Oryctolagus cuniculus: one gene and its partner. The protein of the gene in region 2 binds, or shares a complex with, the protein of the main gene of each other region. Links are inferred from orthologs where the notes say so. Each region holds a gene or a part of one and is shown on either strand. Other genes may lie near its edges.

Evidence for each region.
Region 1: ADGRG1 (region 2) and CD81 share a complex: the UniProt entries of both Homo sapiens proteins name them as parts of the GPCR-tetraspanin complex. The link is inferred for Oryctolagus cuniculus from reciprocal best matches to the Homo sapiens genes ADGRG1 and CD81.

The regions. Positions count from the first base shown.
Region 1 is NC_091432.1:1,171,891-1,177,465, forward strand, and holds the start of CD81 (CD81 antigen), read right to left. Parts: upstream 3,437-5,575; 5' UTR 3,210-3,436; coding exon 3,144-3,209; intron 1,925-3,143; exon of another isoform or gene 1,665-1,924; intron 1-1,664. UniProt on the Homo sapiens protein: Structural component of specialized membrane microdomains known as tetraspanin-enriched microdomains (TERMs), which act as platforms for receptor clustering and signaling.
Region 2 is NC_091449.1:41,137,069-41,141,878, forward strand, and holds part of ADGRG1 (adhesion G-protein coupled receptor G1), read left to right. Parts: intron 1-2,857; coding exon 2,858-2,943; intron 2,944-3,470; coding exon 3,471-3,893; intron 3,894-4,562; coding exon 4,563-4,695; intron 4,696-4,810. UniProt on the Homo sapiens protein: Adhesion G-protein coupled receptor (aGPCR) for steroid hormone 17alpha-hydroxypregnenolone (17-OH), which is involved in cell adhesion and cell-cell interactions.

The DNA of each region.
Region 1 (5,575 bases), on a different chromosome or scaffold from region 2:
AGTGCCCCCAGCCCCACAGCCGTCCCAGCCACCCCCATGGCCACAACACTGGCAGCCAGTGGAGGCCGCCCGAGGCCCGGGCCGGACGTCCCACTGCCCACTGGATGCCCCAGGGGGAGAGTTCTGACTGGGCCGGGCAGTACCGAGGATGTGCACGGTGCTGGGGGTGCCCGGGAAACCACACAGATTTTTGGAAGGCACCCTGGGTCACACCACATCCCACTGGACAGGTGTGGGCCTCGGAGGGTGCGTTCCGGGCGAGCCCAGTTCTGGGGGCAGAAGAGGTGGGTGTCCGGGGCTGAAGATCACCCGGTCCTCACCGCTCACTGGCCGGGGCACAGGGGTCAGGGCCGGAGCAAGGGCCACCTGCCTGCCCCCACCCAGGGTCCTCCCCGAATCAGCCGCTTGGGCGAGGGCGCCCCTCCCACGGTGCCTGGACTCTATGCCTTATTGATTTCACCACCAAAGCTCTCCCCTGGGATGGCGTTTCGGAGCAGAAACGGGGCTGGGGTCTGCCCAGCGACCCGCACACGGTGGCAAAGCCAGGAGAAGGCCCAGCAGGCTCAGCAAAGCATGAGGGCAGGGCTCTGGGCCACCTGCCGTGGTACCCAGGGCCCTGCCGCCCTCCCCGGCTGAGGACCCAACGCAGGCGCAACCATGCACTCTCTCCTCTGCAGGCCGGGCCGAATGGCTGTCTCCCCGGCGTGGGGTCGGTGTGGGGGCACTGGGGGAGTCCAGTCGCCCCCGTGCCGAGTCCCCCCGACACAGCCTGCTGGGGTCGCCGTCCGAGGCAGGGAGCAGATGCGCTGGCGGGGTGACGGACGGTCACGTGCCATCTGGCAGAAGTAAATCGAGCGCCTGTTCCCAGGGCTTCATCTGCCACTGGAAGGCAGCCACCGGCTGTACCTCTCAGGACACCTGGCCACCGTCACACCTGCCGTGCAGGCCAGCTCTACGCACCCCTGCCCCATCCCAGGAGCTCCGGGACCCAGCCCAAGGGCATCCGCACGGTGCTCTCTGCTCGGGCCGCCGGGGAGCCCACGACCTCGCTGGCCAGGACGCCTCACTGCACATGGCCAGCGATGGGAGGAAGACGAGCACCTGTGGGACACCTTCCTCCCCGGGGCTGCCAGGCTCCCACGGCTGCCTCCCCCCTCGAGGCGGCTCCTGAAATGGGACTTTTAAAAAGTGCCCCACGCAGGGGCCGGCACCTGGCACAAGGCTGACAATGCCGCCCGGGGCGCCCGCAGCCCATGTGGGAGCCCTGGGTTGAGAGCCGGCTCCAGCTGCCTGCCGAGCTGCACCCTGGGAGGGCAGCAGGTGCGGGGCCCTGGACTGGGCTTCCCCAGCTTCAGCCTGGCGTGACCCCTGCAGGCGTCTGAGGAGCGAATCAGAGGACGGGCGTCTCTCTCTGCCTCTTTGACTTCCCAATAAACATCTTACAAAGCGCCCATCCAGACGTGCAGTGCCCACCTGTCCCGCCACACCCCCGCAAGCCCCCAGGGCCCTCCATCCACAACAGGCCCCGTGGGGCGGGCACCCCCGCGCCCAGGCATTTCCTCCTGGGCCAGGCCCGGCCCGGCTCTCCTTGGCCGAGCTTCACGGCGGCTGCCATGCCCAGCCTCCTTTTCCGGAGCCGTCCCTGCGCCAAGCCCCTCACTCACACGAGCAGCCTGCCAGCCACCAGGAAGTCCACGAAGACCCCGCTCAGAGGGGGCTCTGCAGTGCAGGGAGCCGGGTGGGGGCCCCGGGGACAGGCCGGTGGGGGCCCCCGGGACAGGCCGGGCGGGAGGGGCCTCGGAACCAGCGCCCCGGGGGGTGTGCTCCAGCCTCCACCAACCGGGAAGCGGCCCAGCTCCCTGGGGGGCGCGCCCCCGGAGATCTCCCAGCTGCTGGCACTGCTGCACAGCCCAAGGCACAAACATCTCCAGGAGGAGGCCCCGCCCCCATCCCGTCACCCCCCTCCCCGGGCCAGCAGAGGGACGCCCCCTGTGCCCGTCACCTCCTACGCGTCTGGGCCCTGGCAGGCAAACACTGACCCACACAGATGCCACCTCCTCTTTGGCCAAGGCCCCAGGGCCAGGCTGGGCCGGCCAGATGGCCTCACCGCCACCCCACGCGGGAGCGCAGTGTCCCCGGAGCCGGCAGCCCTGTCTCTGTTCTCCCTGCCCGAGGTCCTCGCTGGCCCGGCAGCTGTCCAGATGCGAAGCAGATGTCCCGGGGCCCGCGCTAAAAGTTGACCCTCCTGCCTCAACTTGGGGAGTGCGGAGCCTGCCAGGACGGCGCCCAGTGCCCTGCAGGAAGGGCCAGACCCGGGGGGCAGGGGCAGGGGCAGGGGCAGGGGCCGGCCGTCTGGCCCCCCCCCACCGCGCTCGGCCTCTCCACCCCCCACCCCCAATTCCAGGGCCGACAGGAAATGGAAACAAAAGGCGAAAACATCACGGGCCGCCTCCCCGGCAGCCAAGAAAGTTCCCCCAGGACCAGCCCGCGCCGACCCCTCCCTGCAGAGCGGGGAGCCCCAGCCCGCACCCGTGCCGCCCTCCGCCCCAACGCGGGCCCTCCCCGCCCCGAGCGTCCACAGCCCCCCGGGGCCAGGCGGGACCGGACGCGCAGCGCCAGCGAAGAGGGGCGCTGGGCCCCCAGGAACCCCGGTGCGCTGCCCCCAGGGACCAGAGGGCGACTTGCCCTCAGGGCGCGGCGCGGAAGAAGGGCCCCAGGCGCCGGCCCAGAGCGTGCGCCCCCTCCCCTCGCGGCCCATTCCGGGGCGGTGGCCCCGATGAGCTCATGGGGGCGGGGCAAGCCCCTCCGCCCGCGCCACGCCGGGTGGTCCCGGGCACTGCGGCTGGGGACGCGGCTCCGGGCCACGCGCGCCGACCTGTCCCGGGCACAGAGCGGACAGAGCCCCGCGCCCCCTACCCAGACGCTCCGCCGGGCCGCGGGGCTGGGCCCCGACACGCAGAGGTCCCCGCCGCCGGGCCCGCCGCCAGGGGCTTCGGCGGCCCTGGACGCCCCCCACCCGCGCCCGGAGCCCACAGGTGGCTCCGCAACTCGACGGCCGCCCGCGCCCCCTCCGCGGGGCCTAGCGCGCGGCCTGCGCGCCTGCCCTCGGCGGGCCGCGCCCCGCCCCCCGCCCCGCTGCTCACCCAGAAGACGAAATTGAAGACGAACAGCAGGTACTTGATGCACTTGGTGCAGCCTTCCACCCCCATGGCGGCGCGGGCGGCGGGCGGCCTGCGGGCGCGGGCCGGGCCTGGGCGGCGGGCGGGCCGGGGCGCGGGGCCGGGCCGGGCGCGGGGCCTGGAGGGCGGCGGGGGCCGGCGAGCCCCGGGCTCGGAGCGCGGCGAGCGGGACGCGCGGGGCGCGGGGCGCGGGAGGCCTGGCCGGTAGCACGGAGGGGTCGCCGCCGCCGCCGCCGCCGCTGTGCGCGCTCGCTCTCTGGCCGGGCGCGCGCCCCCTCCGCGCCGCTTATAGGACAGCGCGGCCCCGCCCCCGGCCCGGCCCCGCCCCCGGCGCCCGGAGCCCCGGCCGCGGGACAGAGCCGGGTGGGAGAGGGGGCGGGGTGAGGGTGGGAGGAGGGCGCTGCGGCTTCCTGGGTCCGGTCACCCGAGACCGTCGCGTCCCCAGCCGCTGGCCGGGCGAGTGTCCCCCGAGCGTGGGCATGCAGCACGTGTCTGGGAGCAAGACCTCCCCTTCCCCCTGCTCAGGCGCCTGTCGTAATCCCCGAGGGCTCCCGGTGGAGGTGATGCAGTGGCGGATGGCTCTGCACGCACCGGAGCTCTGCTCCTCTTGCTGTCCAGGGCAGACCAGGGGTGGGCCTGAAGGTCTGGACCCGAATTCTCGGCAGCCAGTTCCTGTGCTAGGGAAAGCCGTTGCTGCCGCCCCCAGCAGCCTCGGCAAAGGTCACCAGCTGGGCCCCAGACCAGCGCGACCAGCGCGGGAGCCACCGTGGCAGCTCGCACCCACCCGCCCTGCCACTCCCCGGCCCTGCCCTCGCAGCTGGGGTCTGGTGAGGCAGTGGGGACTGATGGGACAGCGAGGGGTGCTTTCTCCCAGGCCCCAGGCCCCAGCCAGCGCTGGCCCCTCATCGGCCCCTCCTCATCGGCCCCAAGCAGGTCATGCAGGCCCACGTGCACCCGAGGCTGCGTCCTGGGCAGGCGCTCGCCCGGACCCAGGTGGGGCCGGTCTGAGTCCTGCCCCTGCCCCGTGCAGATGGTGGCTGGGGGCTGTCTGCGTGGGTGTGTCCTCCCCGGGCTGACTCCTCCCATGGTTTTCCTGCTGGCCGGTGGGTGCTCGTGGTTGTGTCCCACGCCAACGTGTGAGCTGCAGGCACAAGGTCCCGCTGGACGTCTGGTCTCCGAGAGGCCTTTGTGGGTGGGAGGGGCCAGAAGAGCCGGCGTCTGGTGAGCTCCCCGCTGTCCCCGGTGCCAGGAACGCTTCCTGCCAGGCGGAGCCCTCGGTCCGAGGCCGGTCACCCGGCCGCCCTGTCCTGTCCTGTCCTTGGCTTGGTCACGCGTCTCACATTTCCTGGCCCCTTTGTGTGGCAGGAGCTGGGCCAGGTGCTGGCTGGGGGGGCAGCCAGGACCCCTCCCCTGGAGGGCCTGAGACAGGTGCTGCCCCACCCAGGAGCCCAGGCCGGGATGCTTGATGGGGGGAGGGGCTGACAGGGGAGAGGAGCCTTGCAGGTAGATGGGTGAGGCTGCAGTGGCCGACGGAGCCGAGCAGGGATGAGAGCCTGACGCCCAGATGGGCTGGTGCTCCGTTTTGGTCACGGTGGGGTGGGGTGGCCTGGGGGTGTAGCTGGGCCCGGTGGCTGCCGACAGTGGAACCCCGGCTCCGTAGGCTGGTGGGGGACACCTCAGGGGCCTGGTGGGTGTCCCATGCCCTTGACCTCATGTGTGCTGGGGGCCCAGGGCAGTGAGGACAGGGCACGTGTCACTGTGATTCTGGGACAGGTGGGCGCCACCGGAAGTTGGCCGGGCCTGAGAGAACTTCCTTCCGGTTCCAGGACCCCGCGGACAAACCCCCAGGTGGGCTGTGTGAGAAGAGGGGAGGGGCTCGCCCAGGGGCCGTGGCTGGGCTGGGAACCCCTGTTCCCGCAGCCCCCGGGGGTACCCTGCCCAGGGAAGGTGGGGCTGCGTGTGCTGAGGGCGGGGCGCCAGGCAGGGGGCGGGGCATCAGGCAGGGGCGGGGCACTAGGCAGTGAGCAGGGCATCAGACAGGGGCTGGGAACCAGGCACGGAGGCGGAGCATCGGCAGGGGGCGGGGCACCAGGTAGGGGGCAGGACTGGTCACCGCAGCCTGGCTGCTTTGCTCGGCCACCTCCCTGCTCTGGGGAGGCTGCCTCAGTTTCCTCAGGCTGCCGCTGGCTTCTGTGAGCTGTCTGTGGCTGGGAGACCCCCGTGCCCCCAGGACCACGCACTCCCCCCTGCCTGCCCTGACTTCCTGGGCCATACATGACGGCGGCCGGAGGAGGACCAGTGGGGCCTGGAACACGGGGCCGGCTGTGTGCAGGGCAGAGGCTCCACGGGGAGCTGCTAACGGCTCAGGCCATACGCGGTGTTCACAGCCCAAAGGA
Region 2 (4,810 bases):
TGGCCCATTGTGTCCGCCTGGGCCAACCTGTTCTGTTCTCTGTGTGTTTACGGAAGCCCTGAGGTCAAGAGCAGTTGCTGCGGAAGGGGAGCTGTGGGGGGGAGGGGCGTGGGGCAGCCCTGGGGCGGCTCAGCCTCTGCACCCTCTCCCCCAGGCTGGAGCTGTCCACGCTGCAAGGAGGATTCTTGGCTGTTCCCCAGTTTGCTCCTTCCTGGAGGGAACCCCCGAGGCCAGGGCCGGGGGCTCCATGTCACACTCGCTGGGTGCCGTGGGCTCCAGCCTCAGTTTCCAGATCTGTAAGACGGTGCACAGGATGACAAAGGGGACACTCTTGGTGGCTGAGGCCGGGTAGCTCGGTGGTGACACTGCAGCTCCGGGCGGACGCAGGTCCCTGAGTCCACAGGGACCCTCTGGGGCTCGGCCTCCTTAGCCCGGCCCCTCCTTCCTGGCTGGGCCCTGGGGCGGTGAGCTGGGCCCACAGAGGTGCTGGGTGGGCTGGGTGGCCTCCACCACTGACACAGCCCCTGCGTGCTGTGTGGGCGGCGGCGGCAGCTGTGTGTGCTTGGGGGGGCAGAGCTGGGTGGAGCTAAGGGAACAGGCAAGACAGCCCCCCCAGTCTGGGTCAGAATCCGCTCCCCGTCCCCCGCCCCTTCAGGGCCGGGAAGTGTTCCTGGCGGGGCAGGGCCTTCCCGTTGCACACCGGGAAAGGAAAGGACACTGGAAGAATTTCCCCTGGAGGTGCCGAGGAGGGTGAGCTGGCGCGGGGCGGGGCAGGGCAGCTGACCCCAAGGCCCCTGCTTGAAGCCCTTAGAGGTTTCAATTCATCTGATGGCCCTCTGCTTCACTTTTGTTCCTTTGCCCCAGGGAGGGAAGTGAGGCCCAGAGCAGGTGAGTAACCAGCCCAAGGACACACAGCCAGTAGACAGGGGGACCTGGCTGTGAACCTGGGCCGTCTGGCTCCAGAGTGCGCTCCACTGGCCAGAGGTGGGGTCAGGGGAGCCAGGCCCCGCCCTCTCACCCCCTCCCCCAGAATGCTGATGGGGCCAGAGTGACTGCTCAGATGGCTGGGGGCGTGGAGTGAGGTGGTGCAGCGTCCCTGTGTCCATCTAGTGACGGGGCGCTCACTCCCTGTTCTCGCCTCCTGTGTTCTCAAGGGCCAGTCCAGGGGGCTGATGCAAGGCCTTGCTTCCAGGAACAGTGGCTCACATCTCAGGGCAGGGGGCCAGAGAGGCCCCTGAGTTCCAGCCAACCCCCCCACCCCGCCTGCTGGGGGACATCAGGAAGTCTCTGGTCCTCTGCCTCGACCTAGACACCAGGAAATGGGGACCTGAGGCCAGAGGCAGGGGTCACAGCCAGGGGGCTGCCTGGAAGAGGTGGCACTGGACTGAGGATCGGCGGGGCCGGCCACAGGGGCTGGCAGGGCCTCGTCCCCTGGCCCCAGGTGCTGGTCTGAGGTGGTGGGGGCGGTTGCAGAAGGAATCAAGATGCTTACGGGAGACACAAGCGAAACCCTGGCTACCACAGCCTGAGCCACAGCGGCCCCTCCCCAGAGCGCTTTCATGTCACCTCCTCGGGGGTCCCGGGATGCCACCAGGCCATTGCCCTCTCTGGTTGCACTGATGAAGTCCCAGCAATTGGGATTCCTCAGGGAGGGACACTGGGGCCCGGCTCTTACTTGAGGGCCAGGTTGGCTCGAGGGAGACCTGGTTCAGGAAAGGAGGTCACGAGCTCCTGCCTGGAGCTCCTTTCTCTCTAATGCTGTGTACTTCAAAAGTCACCTCTCCCTGGAAGCCCTCCTTGATTTCTCCGGAACTCATGTGTCACAGGGGGTGCCAGGCTTTCCTTCATCTGGTTTTGTGGCAGATGATTGCATCTGTCACTGTGGTCAGACGCGGCTTCTCACAGGATGGGGATGGCTGCCTGGGTCTGTCGGCACAACTCAGTCACTGGGCCAGCTGGTGGGAGGGCCTGGCATCTGTGAGTGCCAGGCACTGCAGTCCTGACCTAGGAGGGAAAATCCCTGGCCTCTGATGAGTCATTTGACCCCTTGGGCCTCAGGTTCTCCATCTGTGAAATGGACCCACAGTTGTGTCCACATTGAAGGAGTGAGAACCAATGCTGCTGCAGGGGCGGAGTGGCTCGGCGCAGAGGCTGGCGGGTGGCAGGCACTCAGCTCAGCTGGTGGAGGCTGAGCGCAGGGGGCCCCTCAAAGCTGAGGTCGCTGTGGGAGGAGCTGAGCCCCCAGTCGGCCACGGCCTGCTGTGCTCCGGGCCCTGGCAACTGCCTCCCCCTGGCGGCCATGACGGGAAGTGACCTTTCCCTCTAGCCCCTGCAGAGGGCTCCATGGACACGCTGGCCCTTCATTGCCTGCCCCTGTCCACCCCTCCAGCCTGTGTCGGCAGGGATGGACCGGGAGCTCCCTGGCGGGCTGACAGAGGGGTCCTGGCCGAGGCGGGATCCAAGGGAGGCTGGGAGTGACTCTGAGGGAGTTGGGGCGGGCTTCCTGGAGAGGGTGTCGCACTCTGAGCTAGGTCTCGGGAGGGGGCGAGGGGTGGTTCCAGGGGGAACGGTCGGCGCCCAGTTCCAGATAGGGTCACGGTCTCTTCTGGGCCCAGAAACACTTGCTGGGTTTGGGGTGACTTCCACGGGGCTGTGGAGTCGCGACAGGTGACGCTGGGACTCGGGCACTCTCACCTGTCGGTGCTCAGCCTCTGGCGGCTCTGGGGAGTCTGGGCTGTTTCTACACGAGTGCCCGGCCCGCCCCAGCCTCGGGTCTCACGTCCGCGCCGCGCCTCCCTCCCTCACCGCAGGGCTGAGCCGCAGGCTCCCAGCTAACGCTGCTCCTGCTCTGTTCCAGGCCGGGACCGCCAGGCGCGAAGATGGCTGCCCAGGTGCCGCTGTGGAAGGCGCTGTTCGTGCTGAGTGTGCTCTGTCTGGTTCAAGGTCTGCCTTCCCATGGTGCCCCGGGGCCGCTGTGGTGACTTAGGCTAAGATGCCCCCATGTCTAGGATGCCCCTTGAATCCCACCACCGGCCAGCACAGATGCTAACCTGCTGGCCAGGCCCAGGCCTGCAGGCACAGCTCAGCCAGAGGGCGGCACCTTGGAGAAAAGAAGGCGCCTCTTCCCTCCTTTTCTCTGGCAGGTGCAGCCCCACAATGCACAGCAACACCAGTTTCGGCCATGCTTGCCTCTGGAGTGAGCGTCCTTGTGCAGTGCACAGCCTGTACCACTGTCTAAGGTGGCCGTGGCTTCATTAAATACTTCGTTGCTATTAAAAATTCTGCCTTTAAAGTCATTCATTCCCAGTTTGCTCATTTCCTCTCCCATCTCGAAGCCAGCGAGTCTTGAGCAGGATGGAGGCTCACGGTTTTGTAGACCCTGTGAGGTGTAGGCCCTCGTGGTGTGCGAGGCCCAGGCCCAGGGCCCGTGCCCTCCCGCCAGGCCCCACCTGCCGCTTCTGCCTCCTCAGGTGCCCACGGCGGGGGCCCCCGGGAGGACTTCCGCTTCTGCGGCCAGCGGAACCAGACGCACAGGAGCCACCTGCATTACGAGCAGACCCGGGAGCTGCACATCTCCATCAGGAACTCGGAGGAGGCCCTCACCATCCACGCCCCCTTCCCGGCATACCCCGATGCCTCTCGGCCCTTCCCCCCACCCCGGGGCCTCTACCACTTCTGCCTCTACTGGAACCGGCACAACGGCAGTCTGCACCTGCGCTACGGCAGACAGGACTACCCGCTGAGCCGCGAGGCCTCGGGCCTCCTCTGCTTCCGGCACCAGGAGACAAGCCCGGGCCCGGGCCCCCCGCTGCTCGCCACCTCCGTCAGGTCGTGGTGGGACCCCCAGAATGCCAGCTTGCCCAGGGCTGCCACCTTTACCTTCAGGTTCCATGGTGAGCAGCTCGGGCCCAGGCAGTGGGGAGCCGCTGGGGGTGGGAGTGGGGGTGGGGGGGTGTGACCCAAGGTGTGCTTCAGGAGGCCCTGGGGTAAGGGTGGAGGGGCTCCAAGCCCACCTGGAGGCCCCCAGGGGAAGAGGCAGGGAGAGCGAAAGGTGGGACTGTGTGGCGTTGGTCCTGGGAAGTCGCCATCAGCCTCTGCCAGGACGGTTTATCCCCATTCCACAGAGGAGCAAACTGAGGCCCAGGAGGTGGCCCAGAGTTGCCCAGCTGGCTGACGGAGGAGCGGGGATTTGAACCCAGCGGCTGGTTGGCGTGGGGAGGGGCAGGAGGGGAGTGAGAGAGGCTAAAAGGCAGGAAAGCAGGCTGGGGTTCTGGGATTCCTGGAACCTGCAGGAGGCTGGGCTCGCCGTGTGCAGCCAGGGGGTGCAGGGCAGGCAGGGCCCACCCGCCCCACTGGGGCTTCTGTCAGCCAGGGACCCCTCTGGCTGGCCTCACCGCTGACCCTGGGGGTGTGTCTGTTTTTGCTTCTCGCAGCCTCAGTTTCCCCTCCTGTAGAGAGGGGAGAGAGGACACTGGGGGTCAGGCGAGGATTAAGTAGAAGCGGAGTGGGTCGGGGGCCTGTGCCGCCCTGGCCCGGCTCACGTGTGTCCATGCTCTCCCCAGACCCTCCCCAGAAAGCCTCCCACAATGCCTCGGGGGACATGTGTGAGCTGAAACGGGACCTGCAGCTGCTCAGCCAGCTCCTCAGGCATCCCCAGAAGGCGGCCCGGAGGCCCTCGTCCAGCCTCGCCCATAGGTGAGCACACGCGTGCACACACATATACCCCTGTAGGCACGTGCACACACACTTGTGCACACACACATACCCCATAGGCATGAGCACACACATGCATGCACACACATACCCCCGT